2 linked regions of the Pelodiscus sinensis genome follow. Each later gene encodes a partner of the first gene's protein in a complex. Links are inferred from orthologs where the notes say so. Each region holds a gene or a part of one and is shown in the gene's direction. Other genes may lie near its edges.

Evidence for each region.
Region 2: the proteins of GNAI2 (region 1) and P2RY12 are in contact, whole or in part, in a cryo-EM structure (PDB 7XXI), measured with the Homo sapiens proteins. The link is inferred for Pelodiscus sinensis from reciprocal best matches to the Homo sapiens genes GNAI2 and P2RY12. Residues at the interface, in NP_002061.1 of Homo sapiens: Arg24, Glu28, Ala31, Arg32, Leu195, Glu319, Ile320, Tyr321, Phe335, Phe337, Asp338, Ala339, Thr341, Asp342, Ile344, Ile345, Lys346, Asn348, Leu349, Lys350, Asp351, Cys352, Gly353, Leu354, Phe355; in NP_073625.1 of Homo sapiens: Phe59, Asp121, Arg122, Lys125, Thr126, Pro129, Phe130, Thr132, Asn134, Pro135, Ile212, Leu216, Ser219, Tyr220, Arg222, Thr223, Arg224, Val234, Lys237, Ile241, Leu301, Cys302, Lys303.

Annotation. Positions count from the first base shown.
Region 1 is NC_134721.1:45,346,111-45,355,861, forward strand, and holds the start of GNAI2 (guanine nucleotide-binding protein G(i) subunit alpha-2), read left to right. Parts: upstream 1-5,756; 5' UTR 5,757-5,817; coding exon 5,818-5,935; intron 5,936-9,751. UniProt on the Homo sapiens protein: Guanine nucleotide-binding proteins (G proteins) are involved as modulators or transducers in various transmembrane signaling systems.
Region 2 is NC_134720.1:27,021,577-27,031,491, reverse strand, and holds the start of P2RY12 (P2Y purinoceptor 12), read left to right. Parts: upstream 1-5,718; 5' UTR 5,719-5,853; intron 5,854-7,275; coding exon of another isoform or gene 7,276-7,407; intron 7,408-9,217; coding exon of another isoform or gene 9,218-9,381; intron 9,382-9,915. Other genes in the region: MED12L (mediator of RNA polymerase II transcription subunit 12-like protein), read right to left, coding at 547-774, 7,276-7,407, 9,218-9,381. UniProt on the Homo sapiens protein: Receptor for ADP and ATP coupled to G-proteins that inhibit the adenylyl cyclase second messenger system. Not activated by UDP and UTP. Required for normal platelet aggregation and blood coagulation.

The DNA of each region.
Region 1 (9,751 bases):
CGGGAAACTTGGCCCCACTCATAAGTGGCCATCTGGCTAATGCCCACTGTGCTGGATGAGGAGGTTGCCAGACTAGAGAGTGCCAGACCATGGAGGTTACTGGACCAGAGGGTCCCGGACGAGGGAGGTTGCCGGACCAGAGAGTGTCAGTCGAGAGAGGTTGCTGGACCAGAGAATGCCAGACCATGGAGGTTACTGGACCAGAGAGTGCCGGATGAGGGAGGTTGCTGGACCAGAGAGTGCCAGACCATGGAGGTTACTGGACCAGAGAGTGCCGGATGAGGGAGGTTGCCAGACCAGAGAGTGCCGGACGAGGGAGGTTGCTGGACCAGAGAGTGCCGGATGAGGGAGGTTGCCAGACCAGAGAGTGCCGGACGAGGGAGGTTGCTGGACCAGAGAGTGCCGGATGAGGGAGGTTGCTGGATCAGAGAGTGCCGAATGAAGGAGGTTGCTGGACCAGAGAGTGTTGGACGAGGGAAGTTGCCGGACCAGAGAATGCCGGACCATGGAGGTTACTGAACCAGAGAGTGCCGGATGAGGAAGGTTGCTGGACCAGAGAGTGACGGACCATGGAGGTTACTGGACCAGAGAGTGTCGGATGAGGGAGGTTGCTGGACCAGAGAGTGCCGGACCATGGAGGTTACTGGACCAGAGAGTGTCGGATGAGGGAGGTTGCTGGACCAGAGAGTGTCGGATGAGGGAGGTTGCCGGACCAGAGTGTGCCGGATCATGGAGGTTACTGGAGCAGAGAGTGTCGGATGAGGGAGGTTGCTGGACCAGAGAGTGCCGGATGAGGGAGGTTGCTGGACCAGAGAGTGCCGGATGAGGGAGGTTCAACCTGTAGTATGTGCCGGCTGGCTCGCCCTGGGGCTGTGTTCCTTTGTGTTACTGGAGCAGTGTGAAGCGCCCAGAATCGGGGTCTGTGAGGCCAGCGGTGTGTCGGTGCAGAGAAGCCGGACGAGTTTTCCCACACATGCCCCACAACACCCCTACTACGGATCCCCATGGAGTCTGTGCCAGGGGGCCCAGGCGAAAGGAAGCAAAGGTGGCTGGAGCTGGCTGTGCACCGCCTGGATCCTAGGCGGGCTGGAGGCTGCAGATGAGAGCAGCCCTGCGGGGGGGTTGGACGGGGGGGGGTCAGCCCAGGTCCTTTGGAGACTCACCCGCCCTCCCCTGCCTCCGAGGCGGGCTAAGTCGTGGGTGCGAGGGCGCCGTGCTGGCAAACGGACCGAGGACCGCACGGCGTGGGCTGGAATCCGCTCTTGGGCACCCCAAAGGGCCCAGCTGAGGCAGGGCGTGCTCTCGCCCGCACTAGAGCTGGGAGCCCGCCCGGCATTTGCGGGAGCCCGAGAGGCGCTGACCGAGCGGGGGATGGCTCGCGGCGCAGGCAGCCTGCAGGGGCAGCGGGCGGTCTGGGCTCCGGCCCTGCGAGACACTTTTGGGTGGGTGGCGCGGGCTGAGAAGCGTGCTCTCTCCCTGGGAGGCTCTTCCTGCCCGCCGAGCCGGCCCGTGGTCACGGACGAGGCCGTGGGCATTCTTTGTTGCCTTGTGTTTATTTACAAGGAACTTCTTAGCAACCCAGCATTTGCCTCGCCACCTGGGTCAGAGAGCGGCACCGCAGCTCCAGAGCACTCCCGTCCTGCAGGCTGGAGACGGATTGTTTGGGCTTTTGTTCCCTGTAATTAGAGGCTGGCAAATCACTCATCAGAAATATTTCCAGAGCTCTGCTCTCCACCCCCCCGAATGTGCTTCCGCTGTGGTTGGGCCTGTTTGCATTCGCACACGGATTTCCTGGCAGGAAGGGACACCGAGTCTCTGCAAACGCGGACTCGACAGTGCTGGATTCTGACAGCAAAGCTCGTCCGCGGCGGGAGGGGAGATGGTGCCACGGGATCCAACGGCGGCGCCGAGCCAAGCAGCCCTCGTTTGCATATTGAATGAGGACAAGGCGCCCGCGGACAGGCCGAGATCGGTTTGCAGGGCTTCGCCGCTGCACAGTTCTAAGCCACGCGCTCCCCTCTGACAATTCAAAAAGGGAAGAGAAGGCAAAAATCGAGGTGTTTGTGCCAGTTGATTCTCAGCCGGGGGCCGTGAGCAGATGCCAAGGGCCTGCATCCACCCCCAAGCACCCCCTAGGCCCCGCCGCGGGGCCATCAAGCCCCAGAAGGGACTGGATTCCGGTCAGTTAGAAAACGAGTGCCTTGCTAGAGTCTCCAACTCGGCCCCTGGGCAAGCGTGCCCAGGAGAGGGGGCGGACTCCCCAGAGATACTTTCCATGCTCTTCGGGCCAGAGATGGGCCCCAGCAGCCGCCGTTACGGCGTTAAACGTCGCAGCCCGCGGTCCGGAAAGCGATTTGTGCGAAATCAACGACCGGCCTGGGCACAGGAACTTGAGGTGCAGGGGTGCTACAGCACCCCTGGGCTCCTGGCCTAGTGCCCAGAGTCCACAGGCCGGTTACCTGCTGCCTCCTGCACGCCAGGGACCCTGCTGCCAGACCTGGGTGCTCGGGTCCCGGTTTGAACCCAGTGTACTGGGGGACTACTGCTGCTGGCCCCTTGCCTGGGGTCCTGGCTGCCAGCACCCCATGCCTGGCTGCTACCCCATGCCCAAGGGCCTTTGCTGCCTTGCTGCCTGCCTTGGGTGGGGGTGGGTGGAGCTGAGGGTGCTCAGCACCCCCACTTTTAAAATGGTTTGCACGCCACTGCCTCCAGGGGGTTCAGTTCTGAAAGACGAGCGCCCCGCGGTGGCCGGAGAACAGATAGTCGCTAGGCCTCAGTTACCAGGCTGAGGTCAGCGGTGCAGCCTCCAGAGCAGCGGTCCCCAACGCAGTGCCCGCGGGCGCCATGGCGCCTGCCGGGGCACTTATGTGCGCCCGCATAGTGATCAGGGCCGGTCCAAGCCTTTCTCGCGCCCCGGGCACATGGCGCATGCATGGTCCCCGCCCCAGGTACGTGGTGTATGCGCGGCGCCAGCCCTGGGCATGCTGCCCACGTGTGGCATCAGCCCCGCATGCACAGCACACTCGCAGCCCCGCCCCCGGGTGCACGGTGCACACACAGCCCCACGCCCGGGCACTTGGCAGCCCCAGAAGGTTGGGGGCCATTGCTCCAGAGCATGGATGCGCTGCCCTGCCATATAAAGGCTTCTGTCATTATTGATGATTCCGGCATGGGAAGGAGAGTCCGGAATCCCGGTGTAAGGCACAGCCGTTCGGACTGGGGTGTTAAGGACTAGTTAACTCTCCGAGAAGCGAATGCTGACTGGATAGTCAGTCGACTAGTCGGTGTTCCCCGCCCCCTGCCTCTATCAGACAGAGGCAGCAAAGGGGAGAAGACAAGGTATGGCACAGTGGCAGCGCCGCACAGCTGCGCCCGGGATCACTGCTGAGAGTGGAGCCAGGAGTCCCCAGCTGACCCTGGGCTCTGTGCGGCAGGCAGCGCAGCATGGAGCCCGGGGGCAGCGGAGGACTCGGAGCCCCCCCTGCTGTCTCCAGGCTCCATGCTGCACTGCCGCTTTGAAATGCACAAGAGCCCCCGCTGGGCTCCCGCTGGGGACTCTCGTACATTTCAAAGCTGGCACCTGCGTGCAGCCCGAGGTGAGGGGGCTTCCCGCCGGCCCCGGGTGCACATGGAGTGCCGCATGCCTCCTTTGAGATGTACAGGAGCCCCCACTGGGCCCTTGCTGGGCTCTCGTACATTTCAAAGGAGGGATGTGGAAGTGCCTAGCGACTAGTGGATGGAAATTCCTTCGACTAGCCAACGAACCGCTCGTTAACACCCTTCGTTCGGAGCAGGGCCGTCCGCAGCATTGCTTTCGAACCCCACCTCTCGGCCACTAACCTGACCAGCCCAGGTAGCCGGAGCAGGGGTATGACGTAGTGGGGGCTGTCCACTCTGTTTGGGCATGCACCGGGCGCTCGGCGTGGGCTGCGGGTGACCCCTACTGGCCTGCATCTGTGAGCACTGCCCAGTGGGGGGGCGCCCCGGCGCTCACGTCTTCTAGACCATGGCCCAACCGGTTCTCACCTGGGCAGGGAAGGGGTCTGAACGAAGGGAGGGGGCAGTTTGGAGAAGGGGCAGTCTTGGCTGGGAAAACACGAAGAGAAGAGACTGAGCCGAGTACTGGGGGTTCAGGGGCCTGTGGACCCGCCCCAAGGGGTCTAAGGCTACCTGGCCCTGACTCCTATATCCACGCCCCGCCTATGCTGCGCTGTGTCCTGGAGAAGCACTAACCCCTCTCTGTTCTGGCGGAGTCTCATCTTGCTGCAGATGGGGTGCAGGGTCAGGGGGTACCCGATGCGCCGTCACAAGGGGCTACAAGCTAGTGCTTGTTCTTGGTCGGGTGGAACACGTGAGCCGGTCTGGGGGCCCCTCACGGCTCCGGTGCCTCTCTTAGTGTAACGTGTAAAATGCTGCTGGAACCATCACGGACAAGTCCACCTCCCCCGCCTCCAAGATCGTTTCTGCAGCTCAGTAAGGATCCGGAGCCAAATTGGCCACTGAGGACATTCTAGCGGGCTCCTGGGAGCAAGAGCCAGGATGGGCTTGTGAGGCCCTTTCTCCCAGCACCTGCGCCGGCAAAAGGTTCCTGTTGTTATTCACAAGCCCAGAGATTTCCCCTCTGGCCAGCACAGTGGGGACACGCTCTCGGTCTCCAAAACCTGGGGGGAGATTTGGGGCTTACAGAGACGGGGAAGGTCCAAAGGGCCCAGCCCAGAACAATGTCCCCAAACCTCCCTTCTGCGCTACACGGAGCCATCCCAGCCTGCCCAGCTCCATCTTAACCCAGCACCGCCCACGGCCCCCCCGGAGTCCCTCCAGAGCCTCTGAGCAGCCCGCTGGGCCGCCCGTCTCTCCCTGTGGAATCAGCCCTTGCTTCCAGCCGCTGGGAGCTCAGCCTCAGGCCCCGGCAGGTTTTCGTTCAGCCCCAGCGCCTGGAGTCAGGTGCTGCATGAGAGCGTTCACCATCACCAAAGGAAGTTTCTAGTTGTCGGGTTTGTGGGGAAAGTGCGAGTCAGTGGTTCAAAATCCACAAGGCAACTAAGAAACCCCACGTGTGTTAAACCAGTCCTGACAGTCTATGGCTGGGGACTGAGGACATTGTAAGTGCAACCCGGCCTCCCCGCTCGCTGCACCCCAACCCCCCACAGAGAGCCCCCTGCTGCACCCCAACTCCCCACAGAGAACCCCCCGCTCGCTGCACCCCAACCCCCCACAGAGACCCCTGCTGCACCCCAACCCCCCACAGAGAGACCCCTGCTGCACCCCAACCCCCCACAGAGAGACCCCCGCTCGCTGCACCCCAACCCCCTACAGAGACCCCCGCTCGCTGCACCCCAACCCCCTACAGAGACCCCCGCTCGCTGCACCCCAACCCCCCACAGAGAGCCCCCTGCTGCACCCCAACCCCCCACAGAGAACCCCCCGCTCGCTGCACCCCAACCCCCCAGAGAGAGACCCCCGCTCGCTGCACCCCAACCCCCCACAGAGAGCCCCCTGCTGCACCCCAACCCCCCACAGAGAACCCCCCGCTCGCTGCACCCCAACCCCCCACAGAGAACCCCCCGCTCGCTGCACCCCAACCCCCCACAGAGAACCCCCCGCTCGCTGCACCCCAACCCCCCACAGAGAGACCCCCGCTCGCTGCACCCCAACCCCCTACATGGAGTCACTTTGCCCCGCCCCGCCCCGCCCACCAGAAGCGCCCAGACGGCCCCGCCCCGCCCCTGGCCCCGCCCCCGGCTCGGCCCCGCCCCGGCAGGGCTCGGCGCGGGGCGGGCGCGGGCGGGCGGCGGAGCAGAGCTGAGCGGCCCCGCCATGGGCTGCACCGTGAGCGCCGAGGACAAGGCGGCGGCCGAGCGCTCCAAGATGATCGACAAGAACCTGCGCGAGGACGGCGAGAAGGCGGCGCGGGAGGTCAAGCTGCTGCTGCTGGGTGAGCGCCCGCCCGGCCCCCCGCCTGGGGCCCCCCCCGCCCCGGCATCGCCCCCCCGCCCGGTGCCCCCCGCCCCGGCATCGCCCCCCCGCCTGGTGCCCCCCGCCCCGGCATCGCCCCCCCCCCGCCCGGCATCGCCCCCCCGCCTGGTACCCCCCCGCCCCGGCATCGCCCCCCCCGCCTAGTGCCCCCCCGCCCGGCCCCCCCCGCCCCGGCATCGCCCCCCCGCCTGGTGCCCCCCCGCCCGGCCCCCCCCGCCCCGGCATCGCCCCCCCCCGCCTAGTGCCCCCCCCGCCCCGGCATCGCCCCCCCGCCTGGTGCCCCCCCGCCCCGGCATCGCCCCCCCCGCCTAGTGCCCCCCCGCCCCGGCATCGCCCCCCCGCCTGGTACCCCCCCGCCCCGGCATCGCCCCCCCCCGCCTAGTGCCCCCCCGCCCCGGCATCGCCCCCCCGCCTGGTGCCCCCCCGCCCGGCCCCCCCGCCCGGTGCCCCCCGCCCGGCCCCCCCCGCCCCGGCATCGCCCCCCCGCCTGGTACCCCCCCCGCCCGGCCCCCCCCGCCCCGGCATCGCCCCCCCCGCCTAGTGCCCCCCCGCGCGGCCCCCCCCGCCCCGACATCGCCCCCCCGCCTGGTGCCCCCCCGCCCCAGCATCGCTCCCCCCCGCCTAGTGCCCCCCCGCCCGGCCCCCCCCCGCCCCGGCATCGCGCCCCCCCACCCGGCCCCCCTCCGCCCCGGCATCGCCCCCCCGCCTAGTACCCCCCCGCCCGGGCATCGCCCCCCCCGCCTAGTGCCCCCCCGCCCGGCCCCCCCCCCCGCCCCGGCATCACCCCCCCCCGCCTAGTGCCCCCCTGCTGGGCCCCCCCCCGCCCCGGCATCAGCCCCCCGCCTGGTACCCCCCCCGCCCCAGCATCGCCCCCCCCCGCCTGGTACCCCCCCGCCCCAGCATCGCCCCCCCCGCCTGGTGCCCCCTGCCCCGGCATCGCCCCCCCCGCCTAGTGCTCCCCCGCCCGGCCCCCCCGCCCCGGCATCGCCCCCCCGCCTGGTACCCCCCCGCCTAGTGCCCCCCCGCCCGGCCCCCCGCCTGGTACCCCCCCACCCCGGCATCACCCCCCCGCCCCAGCATCGCCCCCCCCACCTGGTGCCCCCCTGTCCCGGCATGGCCCCCCCCACCTGGTACCCCCCCGGCATGGCCCCCCCCGCCTGGTACCCCCCCTCCGGCATCGCCCCTCCCACCTGGTACCCCTCCGGCATCGCCCCTCCCACCTAGTACCCCCCAGCATCGCCCCCCGGCCCGGCATCGCCCCACCCGAACTCCCCCCCCCCGCATCGCCCCCCCCGCCTAGTAACCCCTCCCCCGGCATCAGCCCCTCGCCCCAGCATCGCCCCCCCCGCCTAGTACCCCTCCGGCTTCATCCCCCCCCTCCCGCCCCGGCATCGCCCCTCCCGCCTGCTACCCCCCCAGCCGGTGCCCCCCCTGCCTGATAACCCCTCCTGCCCCGGCATCGCCCCCCGCCCGCCCCCCCCCCCCCCGCCTGGTACCCACCCCGGCACACCCCCGCCTGGTACCCGCCCCGGCCTGGTACCTCCCCCCCACCCCGGCATCGTGACCCCCCCCCGCCCCGGCATTCCCCCGCCTGATAATCCCTCAGCCGGTGCCCCCCCTCCTGGTACCCCACCCGCCTGGTGCCCCCCAATCGGTACCCCCCCCCGTGCCCGCCCCGGCATCTCCTGCTTGGTGCCCCCCCCGTCCTCCCCGGCATCCCCCCGCCCGGTGCCCCTCCTCGCCCGTCCCGGGTGGTACCCCCCACCGCCCCAGAACCCCCTGCCAGATACCCCCCCCCCCCGGTGCCCTCCACCTGGTACCCCCCCCACCCCGGCAGCCCCTGGCCGCCCTGCCTGGTACCCCGCTCCCCAGCATCCGCCCCGCCCAGTACCCCTCCCTCCAGTCCGGTACCCCCCCGCCCCAGCATCCCCCCCTGCCTGGCATCCCCCCTGCCCAGTACCCCTTCTTCCAGTCTGGTACACCCCCTCCCGGCATCCCCCCTGCCCGGTACCCCACCCCGGCATCCCCCCCCCCGCCCAGTACCACCCCCTCCGTTTGCCCTGGCATCCCTTCCCGCCCCTCCTCCAGACCGGTACCCCCCCTCCTTGTCTGCCCCGGCATTCCTCCTCCCCTTTCCCAGTCTGGTACGCTCCCTGCCCCTTCCCCAGTCCGGTACCCCATCTCCCCAGCATCACCCCCCTCCCCGGGTCCAGTACCCCCCCATCTGCCCCTCCCCCAGTCCAGTATCTGCCCCAGCATCCCTTGCCCTGGTATCCCTCCCCAAGTCCGGTAACCACTCCCCCCCCTCCGGTCCAGTATCCCTCCCACGCCTGGCCTGGCATCCCTCTGCCAGGTACGGTATGGCTCTGCCCAGTCCAGTCCGCCTGCCATCCCCGCACCCCGTCCGGTCTGCCCTGCTCCACCATCCCCCACCTGCTCCAGCCTGGTATCCCCACACCGTCTGGTCTGCCATCTCTCTCCAGCCCCCCACCCTGCCACCCCCCTCCCTGCCTGGCCTAGGTGAGCCCTGCACCCTGGCTGCGCCGCCTGGCTTCTAGCACCCTCCAAGATGAACCCCCCAGCCCAGCCTCTCCCGAGTTCCCTGCCTGACTGGGGTACATCCCAGCATCCCCAAGGCTCCCAGAGACCTGCCCCCCAACACTCAAGTGCTCCAGCCCACCCAGTCACCCTGTGAGAGCCTGCACCCCTCAGGACCCCCAAATGCCCCCCTGCACCTGCTCCCCAGGCAGGCCCCCCTAGAGACAGACTGCCCCAGGCACACCCGCCAGATACAGCTCCGGCCTCCACCCCACATGTGGCAGCCCCCACATGCCATGGGCCCCCCAGCTCCTCTTCGATGGAGTCCTGGACCTCAGCCCTGCGTGTACCCCACCCCCCTTTCCTCTCCCTGCTCCCCCACTGCCCTCCCCTGCCTGGTAAATTACCAGTTCCCATCCCACCCCTGCTCTGCTGCTCCCTGTCTCCCCCAGACAGCCAAAGAACCCCCCCAGCTGCCCTATCCCTCTAGGAAGGCAGCTCCTCCCCCCCAGCTGCCCCTCCCTCCCAGAGATCCCCCATTCCCATAGCCCTACCCATCCAAGCCATCTCCCTCTCTGAAGGCTGGTCTGCACTCCAGCCCCCCTGCCTCTCCAGCCGGGCACCCTCCTGGTGTTTTCCAGCCCCCTGCCCAAGTGACTGCTGGGGGAGGGTACCCATTTGGGGGGGGGGGGGAGTTGGTGGAGTTAGGGAACTCCTCAGCTGTGGGGGGGGGGGGTCGGAAAGACGGTCTCCCAGCCCACTTTGGGGAGGGCGCTGCGCTCGGTGTGGTGAGCCCCTGTGTGAGCCGTGAGCTCAGCGGGGGGGCGGGGACACACGGCTTGTTGTTGATTCTTGGTTCCCCTTTTTCTGAAACTCTTGGCACGCGGACTGCGCCCGGATAGTGCCCTGCGCCCCCAGGGCGCCCAGAGAGCGGGGGGGCTTGTGTCTGTAGCCCTGTGTGCTGCTCTCCGCCTGCACCCGGTAGCGTCACGCCAGGCGAGAAAGCGCTGAGTTCAGAAGGCCCTGCCCACCCTCGGGCTTGGGGAGCGGGGGGAAGCCATTGGCTCGGCAGGGCCACGCGAGCAGGGGCTGATGGCTGTTGCATGGCGCGCGTCCCCTGGAACCACGCTCCGGCCGGCCGGACGCTGGCCCCGCTCGCTCGCTTCGCCCGGTCCAGCCTGCCTTGACCGCTCCTGAAACGTTCTCCCGCTTGGCGGCGGCTGCGAACGCAACAGAG
Region 2 (9,915 bases), on another chromosome or scaffold:
AAAATAATATATTTCATCTGGAGAAGGGAATTGATCAGTACCCAACACTCCTTGAAAATGAGGATACTGTCAGGATGTGATGATAATTTTGCTGAGAGAGCAATCCAGTGTCAGAATCCTGAGAAATGGAGAAAAGCATAACAAGTCTCCTCTTGCTAGGAAGCTAATAATTGTACCTTGTGTCTTACAAAACTTTTCTTGTAATTTTACATATAGGCTGCTATTTATATTATTTGGTGATGCAAAGAAGCCTACACCTATTATTAATCCTCGTAATGTTATGCAAACCAGTCTGATGCAGTCTTGGTGAAACCTATTCTAAAGAATTGTACAACTCTGAATCGGGAAAAAAACAACCCAGGAAATCTGTCAATGAAGATAAACCAAAAGAATACAAAGGGAGAGGAAAAAAGGGGAAGGAAGGACAACATGCACATAAACAGCCCCAATTAGTTCTAATAATATCCCAGATACTTCATTTCACTGAAGCACTAACCCTTATTTCAATTACTTCTATAGTTCTATATCTGAATCAATTTCTCTTACCTTAGTGCATCTTGGTGCCCCATACATACATTCATGAGTGCATTACAAACAAAGCTGTAGCGATTGGCTGCATTGTCACTCAGGATCTTGCCTAGTATCGAGTAGTTGATGCTATGAGCAGAGGGATTCTCGATAAAATCCAACATGAACTCGGGATCCCATAACAAGTTGGAGTTTGAGGGCTGTACATTGCTGTATATGGTTTGCTTTACCTTTGAACAAGCACTACTAAGGGTTAAAAACAGGAGAGAAAAAAACATTGTTCACATGGCTTGAATTGTTGAAATATTGATACAGATTAAAACAAGATTGCCACTAAGTATTACTCAAAGAGTTCATCTAATAACTGTTAAATCCCATTGGCTATGTCAACACTGGCCCCAAATTCCGGAAAAGGGATGCAAAGCAGGTAAGTCAGAATAGGGAAATCCGCGGGGGATTTAAATATCCCCCGCGGATTTAAATAAACATGTCCGCCGCTTTTTTCCCGGCTCGGGGAAAAGCCGGAAAAAAGCGTCTAGACTGGAGCGATCCTCCGGAATAAAGTAGGAATAAGAGATCCTCCGGAAAAGGGCTTTATTCCGGAGGATCGCACCAGCCTAGATGCTTTTTTCCGGCTTTTCCCCGAGCCGGAAAAAAAGCGGCGGACATGTTTATTTAAATCCGCGGGGGATATTTAAATCCCCCGCGGATTTCCCTATTCTGACTTAACTGCTTTGCATCCCTTTTCCGGAATTTGGGGCCAGTGTAGACGTAGCCATAAAGTCTATCTTATTCTCTTTGGAGGCACTGCAGTGCACAACTGAGATTGCTCTTCTGGACACCATTTCTGAAAATTTGATTAAGTTTTCCTGAAGCAATAACATCAACTCACAAGTTTTTATACCAGCTTTGTGATATGTTTATTTAAAGCTTGAGCAGACAGATCAATCAGATCAAACCTTTTTCTGGTAATGATTTCAACACAGCATAACATAGCCTTATAAATATACACTAATGCTGCTTCTTTGCATTCACAACTTACTGAGTTAACTGGAGTGTGTGCGGGTGTAAAATTTCAGAATTTGACAATTTTTAAAAATAAAAAAAACCTCAGCAACCTAGAAAGATAGGTTTGATAATAGCTTTTTAATTATTGTTACAATGAACTGGATATCATCTTTGATTTCTTGACGGTCACTATCAATAAACAGAAAGAGAATATGAGAATGTCATGCTTTTGTGACATTACCAATACACACAAAAGAGAGGCAGTATAGGCTCAGGGTATTAACATGTTAGTGGACCTCCTTCAGCAGGAGAAAAGCTATTGTTCCTAGAAAGCAGATAAGAACATATGCAAAGATCCCAAAGAACATTTACATTAATTAATGAGATGCTGGCTCTGACTCCATAGTTAAGGCCCTATTTACATCAGTAAGATTAACAAAATTCAGAAATCATCTTAAGAGTTCCTTATGTCAATTTAGTGGAATCTGATTTGATATAAAACACTTAAGTTGCTTACAGAAAGTCTACAGAGGGGTTGCACTGATCTAACTAGATATGTGTAACTCTGGAGAAATTACAAAGAAAGTAAACTCTAATACAAGTTGGGGAAGAAGCTATCAGATCAGATCAGAAGTATTCGTGGGTCAGAAATGGATGTGATCCCCAGGGAAATTGATGCTTGGTCCTGCCATGGGTGCAGGGGAATGGACTTGATGACCTCTTGAGGTCCCTTCAAGGTCTATGATTCTGTGAAATGGAGCTCAGACACTGGGATCAAATCCTTCACAGTAAGTCTTCAATTCAAAGTTAACTCAGGCTCTAATTGGCATATTGCCCTCAACCCTTGTCCTGTACAGAGATGAAAACACTAAACTTGGGGTCAGGTTTTCTCAGATTAGCCGGCTTGTTTCATGCTAAAGGCTGAGTGAGGTTATTATACAGCCTGGAACCCTACTCACTTTCAGTGAGGATGTATCTAAACTACTGAAGTCCTCCAATGCCTTCCCATAATTCCTCCACAACCCCAGAAGGACAGATGCGTTGTTTCATAATTCACTGAAAAAAATCACAGAGTGGCTTAGCTTACTGAAGCAGCAGAGAGAGCTATGGGACATGCCACCAGAAGTCACTCACATAGGTGAGTGCAGCACCAGTGAGGACACAGTAATGTAGGTGTGGTGTTGCAGTGTAGCTCTTCCTCCAGGCTAGGCTAACCAAGACAACTACCCATGTTAACTCTGCAGTGAAGGCTTAACATCAGAGGCAGGAATTTTCTCATGATGAGAGCATTTAATTTCTCCTGCAAATAAAAGTTTCTTTGCTTACCAGAAGCTAGGTCTAGTTTAGTACTGTGGTCAAATTTAGTACTGTTTAGCTCCAATTTAATTTCAAATTCCATTTTCTAACAAACTTGTTTTCATTTAATATATTTTAGGTAATAACTTCTTCTTGGGATTTTCACCGTGGTCCACTCTGAGGATATTAAGTATTGAGTAATTTACTAGTTGAGTAGTCAATGGAATTTTCATCAACTACTCAACTAGAGGATAGGCACTTCCACATTCCTCCTTTGAAATGGAAATGGCAGCTGATCCCAGGATCTGTTGTGTGGTGCTACCCCATAGTGGCAGCACTGTAGGGAACTCAATACAGGCTCCATCTGGTGCTGCTGCTTTAAGTACCCCATTTCCCCCCCCCCCCCGCCCTTGCTGCTTCTATTTGATAGAGGCAGCGGGGGGGGGGGGGGGGGGAGAGGGGAGATCGACTAGTAGACTCGACTATCTGACAAGCATTTGCTTATCAGATAGTCAACTAGTCCTTATCATCCTTAGTCCATTCTCAAAACTAGGGAAGATGAGTTTCTGATTGCGGAAGAGAAGTGGAAAGACCTAATACAGGTTGCACCTCCCTGAACCAGGACTCTCTGATCTGGCAACATCTATGGTCTGGCAGGGCTAGCAGCAGCCTGGCAGGGGAGCCAAGGCATCATGAGTAGGAGGACTGGCAGGAGAGCCAGGTCTGGGACTGCACAGCAGCCCAGCAAGGGAGATGGGGCCCATGGTAACCTGGCAGGGAGGCCACGCAAACTGGGGAGCCATGGCCACATGGCACCCTGGTGGGGGGCCAGAGCTGCACATGCCAGAGAGCTGGAGCCAAAGCCAGGGTCATGCACCAGCCCAGCAAGGGAGCTGGATCCAGAGCTACAACGGTGTGACAGGGAGACCGGGCTGTGGCAGCCTGGCAGGGACAAGGGGGGGGGCAGCAGCCCGGCAGAGGAGCTGGGCCAGGGCTGCACAGCAGCCCTCAGAGCTGAGACCGTCAGCAGGCAGCCCAGCTGGAGCCTTCAGCAGCATAACCGGACAGGGCTAGAAACTGAGCCAGTGGAGGATTAAAAAGCCAGCAGCAGGGGAACCTACCTTGGCCTGGAAAATTCTCTCATTCAGAACCGGTCAGTTCCCGAGGGTGCCAGATCAGGAAGATCCAAGCTGTATATACTGTGTGTGCTACTGTGGCATAGTAGAGTCATGGCTGCTCTGCTAGTAGCGCCACAGCTTTGACACTGCCTAGAGTTTTTCTGTGTGAATTTGTCACAACCCTGAGTGCCAGAGGTGCATTCTCACCTAATTTCTAAGCATAGACCAGGCCTCGGTGCAAACAAACTGCACCTCCCCAGGAGCGGTTTCCAAAACGCTGGCGAGGCGCGGGAGAGGGAACACAGATGCACTGAGAGAGTCAGGCCACTACTAGAAATTATAGGAACAAGAGGCCATCAGTAACAATTGTTTCTGAATTTTTGCCTTTTTTCTCATTACCTCTTCCACAACCAGAAAGAATTTAAATGGCCATTGCTCCACATGGCTATGGTGTTCAATTGTATATTACAGAGACAAGCTTCATTAGTCTTTTGGTTCATCACTTGTTGTCATCTCCATTAGTATAAATGGGATACACATAAGGAAATCCAGACCTATCATATCACACAAGCACATTATTCAAAGTATTCTCTAATCATAGGACAATCAATAAAGAGAAAGGATGAGGGTAGCAACATTTGTCTTCTTTTTAAAAAATACAAAAAAATAAAAATAATCAAGCCTGAAGTTACAGAATACCTTGAAAAAGTCCCTCATCAAAAGCTCTTAAGCCAACTAAGCAGTAATGGGATAAGAGGGAAAGTCCTATCATGGATCAATAAGAGGCTAAAAAATAAGAAAATATCCTGTGCAGTTAAAGCACAACATATTTATCCATTTACATCAAATAAGAACCAAGGGTCAACCCAATGAAATTGATAGGCAACAAGTTTAAAACAAATATAAGGAAGTATTTCTTCACACAATGTACAGTCAACTTGTGGAACTCAATGCCAGGGATGTTGTGAAGGTCAAAACTATAACTGGGTTTAAAAAAAAGAATTAGATAAGCTCATGGTGGAAAAGTCCATCAATGGCTGTTAGCAAAGATGGTCAGGGATGCAAACCCATGCTCTAGGTCTCCCTATGCTTCTGACTGTCAGAAACTGTCAGTCTAGAAAGAGTCTACGATGGACTGGATGACAGAGGCTGGATCACTTGATAGTTGTCGTTTTCTGTTCATTTCCTTTGAAGCATCTGGACATGGCCCACACCTCACACTGCCCGCCCCCGCAATAAGTCGGTACTGGTGGAATTGCAGCATATAGCAGTGAATTCACTCACTAGACACACAGTGGTTGGCCCTTTCACAAGTGGTGCGGGAAGAAGGGGAAAAGTTCATTACACTTCAACCCCCCAGTTACAATCTGACCATAATCTAACAAATGTCAGTGTCACCTCAAACCTAGCTAATATATGTAAAACAGGCTTATGGAATACATTCGCTTCCTGAAAAGCAACATGGTACACATACAATGCAGCAGAAGGCCATAACCAGTCAATTAGAGACTCGCATTGTACTTTCAAAACACCAGACGCCACTCAGGAGCCTAAATCCTATTGAGATACAAATGTCCTTTCCTCTAGGGTGCTTTGAAAATGGGACTTAGGTACTTTTTATACAAAATCTATTCTACGGATTGGAACACAAAACTGGATTATTCTTCTTTTCTAATGGTCACAGTACTAGCCATATCTTAAGAGAGTGGATTGGCAAACTGAGTTTCTGACGTGTTATGCTGAAGGAGTGGTCAGATGATCAGAAACATAAAAAAATGTGAAGAGACAGTTGAAAAAAAGGAAGTACAGTGAACATTAGCATGCAAAACTGGCTGAAAGCCTCAGCAAGCTTGTTCAGGATGATGCCAGAGAAACCCCCTTTAAAACCTAAAGTCAACAGAAGGTAAGAATTGAGCATAAAGTGAATGCTTACTTAAATGAGGCATTGTAATTTATTTTGAAATTTACTACAAAAGGGAACCAATGGGACCTGCAGTGTCATAGAAAGCAGCTAAAGGAATGATTGGGAATAGTTAACTATATTGTGCACTATACATGGTAAGGCAGCTCCATAGAATAAACTAGTATTCTGCTAGTAACATATGCACCCTGCTACAGTGAAGGAATCCCTGTATTTCCTTATAATTACCTGTTTTCAGAGGATTTGTATTTTAAATCAGCCATTTCTAATTACCCTGGACAGGAAACCTGTTATAAAAGTGCTGGGTACAAATGCAGTTAGAACTCTCATGTTATTACCATGCCATTTTAAAATATTATAGAACACCAATAAAATATATTTTTGTTTGTGGGGATTTTATTTTGTGTTTGTTTTGAGGGATGGTTGTTGCTATTTTATATTTTCTATTAAGCTGTAACTTTTGTAGTTGAAAAATATGAGGATGGGGTTAGCAGTAGAATAAATGTACAGTTATTTTACAGTTAAACCATCTATAGTTAAGAAGCTACCGTATATTTGATAATTTTTTACTAAGAAACATTGGAGAAACACTGTTCATGTGCATTTATAAAATCCATTTACAATATCTGCAAGTTCTCTTACTGAGAACTCTCACAGATACCTATGCAATACAAACCTCAAACATGAAACATGCAGATCAAAACCACAAGGATAAATGAAAAAATAATTGTGACTAAGCTGGCTTGTAACTTTCACAATAAACAAGCAAACAGATAAAAGTTCTTTTTCAGAACAGCCACAAATTCTGACTTTTGAGGTCTCTACAGTAAGATTCCAATCCAGAACAAGAAATTGAAACTTTGGCAATGTAGCATCTCAAACTACACACTTTTTGTTGTCCCTCTACCTATATCTAATGAAAGATTTAGTGAGCAGAGTACTGCAGAATTCATTCTCTTCAATGCTGGTGTAGCTATTACTGTTAATTTACAAGTATATTAAAGAGTATCTTACATTAATCAAAACTGAACTGCAATGAAGGGAATTAAACGACTTTGCTAGCATTGTGTATGAGCACAGGCACACTTCTCCACCTGGGTCCTTCCTGCACTAAGCTCCATGCAGGTGGACCTGTGGAGCCTCAGGACTTCAGTGGAGTGTCAGTGGACACAGAAGTATGCCTGCTGTGTTCAGCACTCAAACAGTATCAAGACTAGGGCTTTCAAGTTGAAACAGTCTTTTGTAGGCAAAATGGTTCCCAAGTAAGGAAAAGGAAAACCAGAAAGTAGAAAAGATGTGTTTGCAAGAGCAGATAAACTGAACTGAAAGATAATTAATATAACACAGAAAGGCGGGAGTCAGCTTTTTAGTAATTTTAGTTTGTAACAGCTTTGTGCTACTAACCTGAAAAGGTCCCCAAATTTGCTTCGTAGGTGACTGCATGATACATAGAGATCATAGAGGTAAGCTAAAATGCATCTTTCAGGGGAAGAACACTCTGATGGATTAACAACATGCTTGACAACACCACATAATCTGGGAAAAAAAATCAGAGATTAATTCCCAACTCAGACTTTTGAAAATGTATTAACTGTTCATTTCACTTGGAATGATCTCTTGCAACATGTTAATTTCTTGTCTTAACAACCTGTTCCACCTTGCACTCAACTGTGAGTACTTTTCCCAGACCAGAAGAAGATCTCTGCATAAACTCAAAAACTTGCCCCCTCTCACCAAAAGAATTCCATCCAATAAAAGATATTACCTCACCCACCTGGTCTCCCTAAAATCTAATTATGCGTTTTAACATTATAAAACTAGCATACCCATGCCAAGAATTAGAAGATGGTCTATGTCCATATAAAAGTCAAAATGGATGCCATTTTTATAGGTATAAAGGGTTTCATTGGAAGCAAATTTTCAAATTTTCAGATGAAAATAGTAAAGCGTTCAGAGTATTTTACACATATGGGACACAATCCTGCAGCAAATTACGTACAAGGGGAGTCACACTGACTTCAAGAGGGCTCCATACAGGCCACAGAGATGTGCCCAAACAGAGCTCAATGCATAATCTGGGCCATGGAAAACAGATCAAAGTTTTACAGCCTGGCACCAGTGCTCCCTGCAAGGTGTGTACTTCTGAGACTGCTAAGGAGAGACTCCAATGATGCCCAGCTGATTAGCAGAGCACCCACAGCTATGTTTTGTTTCTACTGGTAGTGGTCAATCTGCACATTCCTCGGGCGCATAAACATTTATTTTGCACATGGACAGAAAAAATCTGCACATGGATAGAAAAGATTAGAGGGTGCCTTGTACCCTAAAGACGATGATATAAAAACGTGCAACAGTTGCTAACCTAGCACATCACAAGTTCACTGTGCACAAAGGACTAAACATTTCACACTTTAATTTGGCTTTGCTCCAATGGAATTCAGTTTTCATCTAGTATCTCTGTAATAGTACATGGAAGCAAACATTTCCCAGTTTATCTGGCTCTACCGTGATTGTCTATAAGGCACTGTTGAGGAAGGAAGGTCACAGTATTCTTTGCATCAATGATTTTATACTGAATCATTACCTACTGTACACCCTTACTGCCACACTTAAGAAGTCAGTGTGTTCTACACCACCTGTCATTTATACACTGTAAGCTTTTGAGGTAAGGACTGTCCTATATGAGGTTTGTATAATGCCCAACCCAGTGGAGCACTTGGGATTAACTTTAACCCAAAGGGGAAAAACAACAACAGCAAACTGTTACACTACTTTTGAGTAAAATATTCTATAAACTACTCTCAGGCATATATCTAATAGGACAGATAAATACTGCAAATCTCAATGAATATTTAAAACCAGCTTATTTAAATCAGTTCAAAAATCTGAAGAGAAACTATTGCACTGTGTGTAAATAATTTTTAATGGAAACTGATGTAAAATCTTTCTTATAGTGTTTTATCAAGTTAGCTTAAGTCAATTCCTCAATCACTTAAGTTTAAACTAAACAAAAACACTCACATTTTATTTTTTGTGATAGTTTAAACTTTTCCTGAGCAATTTATAGCAATTCAGTGTATACAGCTGACACATATTTTAATAGCTCAAATGCCAGTACAATACAAGAAAACATGTAGATGGTATCATGAGCTTTCGTGGGCACAGAAAGTGGGCTGTGCTCACGAAAGCTCATGATACCATCTACGTATTTTGTTAGTCTATTACGTGCTACCAGACTATTTGTTGTTTTTTCAGTTTACCTGTATAGACTAAGTTGGCTACCCGCTGAAGTATAATACAATTTTAATTATGCAATAAACATAGAAAAAATACAGCGGCTACAAACCCTTCAAAAACTTGGGCAGTCTGCTCTGGATTTAGAATTAGGCAGGCATGGTAACGCCGCAAAACTGCAACAATGCACACACATAATCCTGTTGTGTAACTTCCTGCCAGGCTGGATGACTTCAACAGTAGTTCTGCTTCCACAACACTCAGTTCATTTAACAGCTAAAGTAGAAGACAAATATTGAGTGTCCTTTTCCAAATTAAGCTACACAAAACATTTCCAACAATCATAAATGAGAAAAGCAATAGAAACATCACACAATAACATGCTAAAAATAAAGAAAAAAAGTGTTCAAACAATACAAAAGCACAAAGGATTGTTCTGAGCTGTAGAAATGTTCTTGTGCCTAGACAACTGTCACATAAGATAGAGAAGTGCTTTAGATTAAAATAGCCATTTAAACCATATTAAATAAGACATTCTGGACTAAGATGTTCTGGATTTGCTATTTTGAAAAAAAACAGCACATTTTAAAAATAATTGGAAAATGTTTTCCAATTAAGAAAAAATAAAAGTACAATAGCTAACAAACTCTTTTATAGTGTCTGATCTATAGATCTTCAAGGATTGCATAAGATTAGTTAAGTATTGACAGCCCATTTAAAGGTAGGGAAACTGAAGCATATATAAGTTACATGATTTGCACAAATGTTACACAACAGCAGATCTAGAAAAATACAGATCGCCTCACTCCC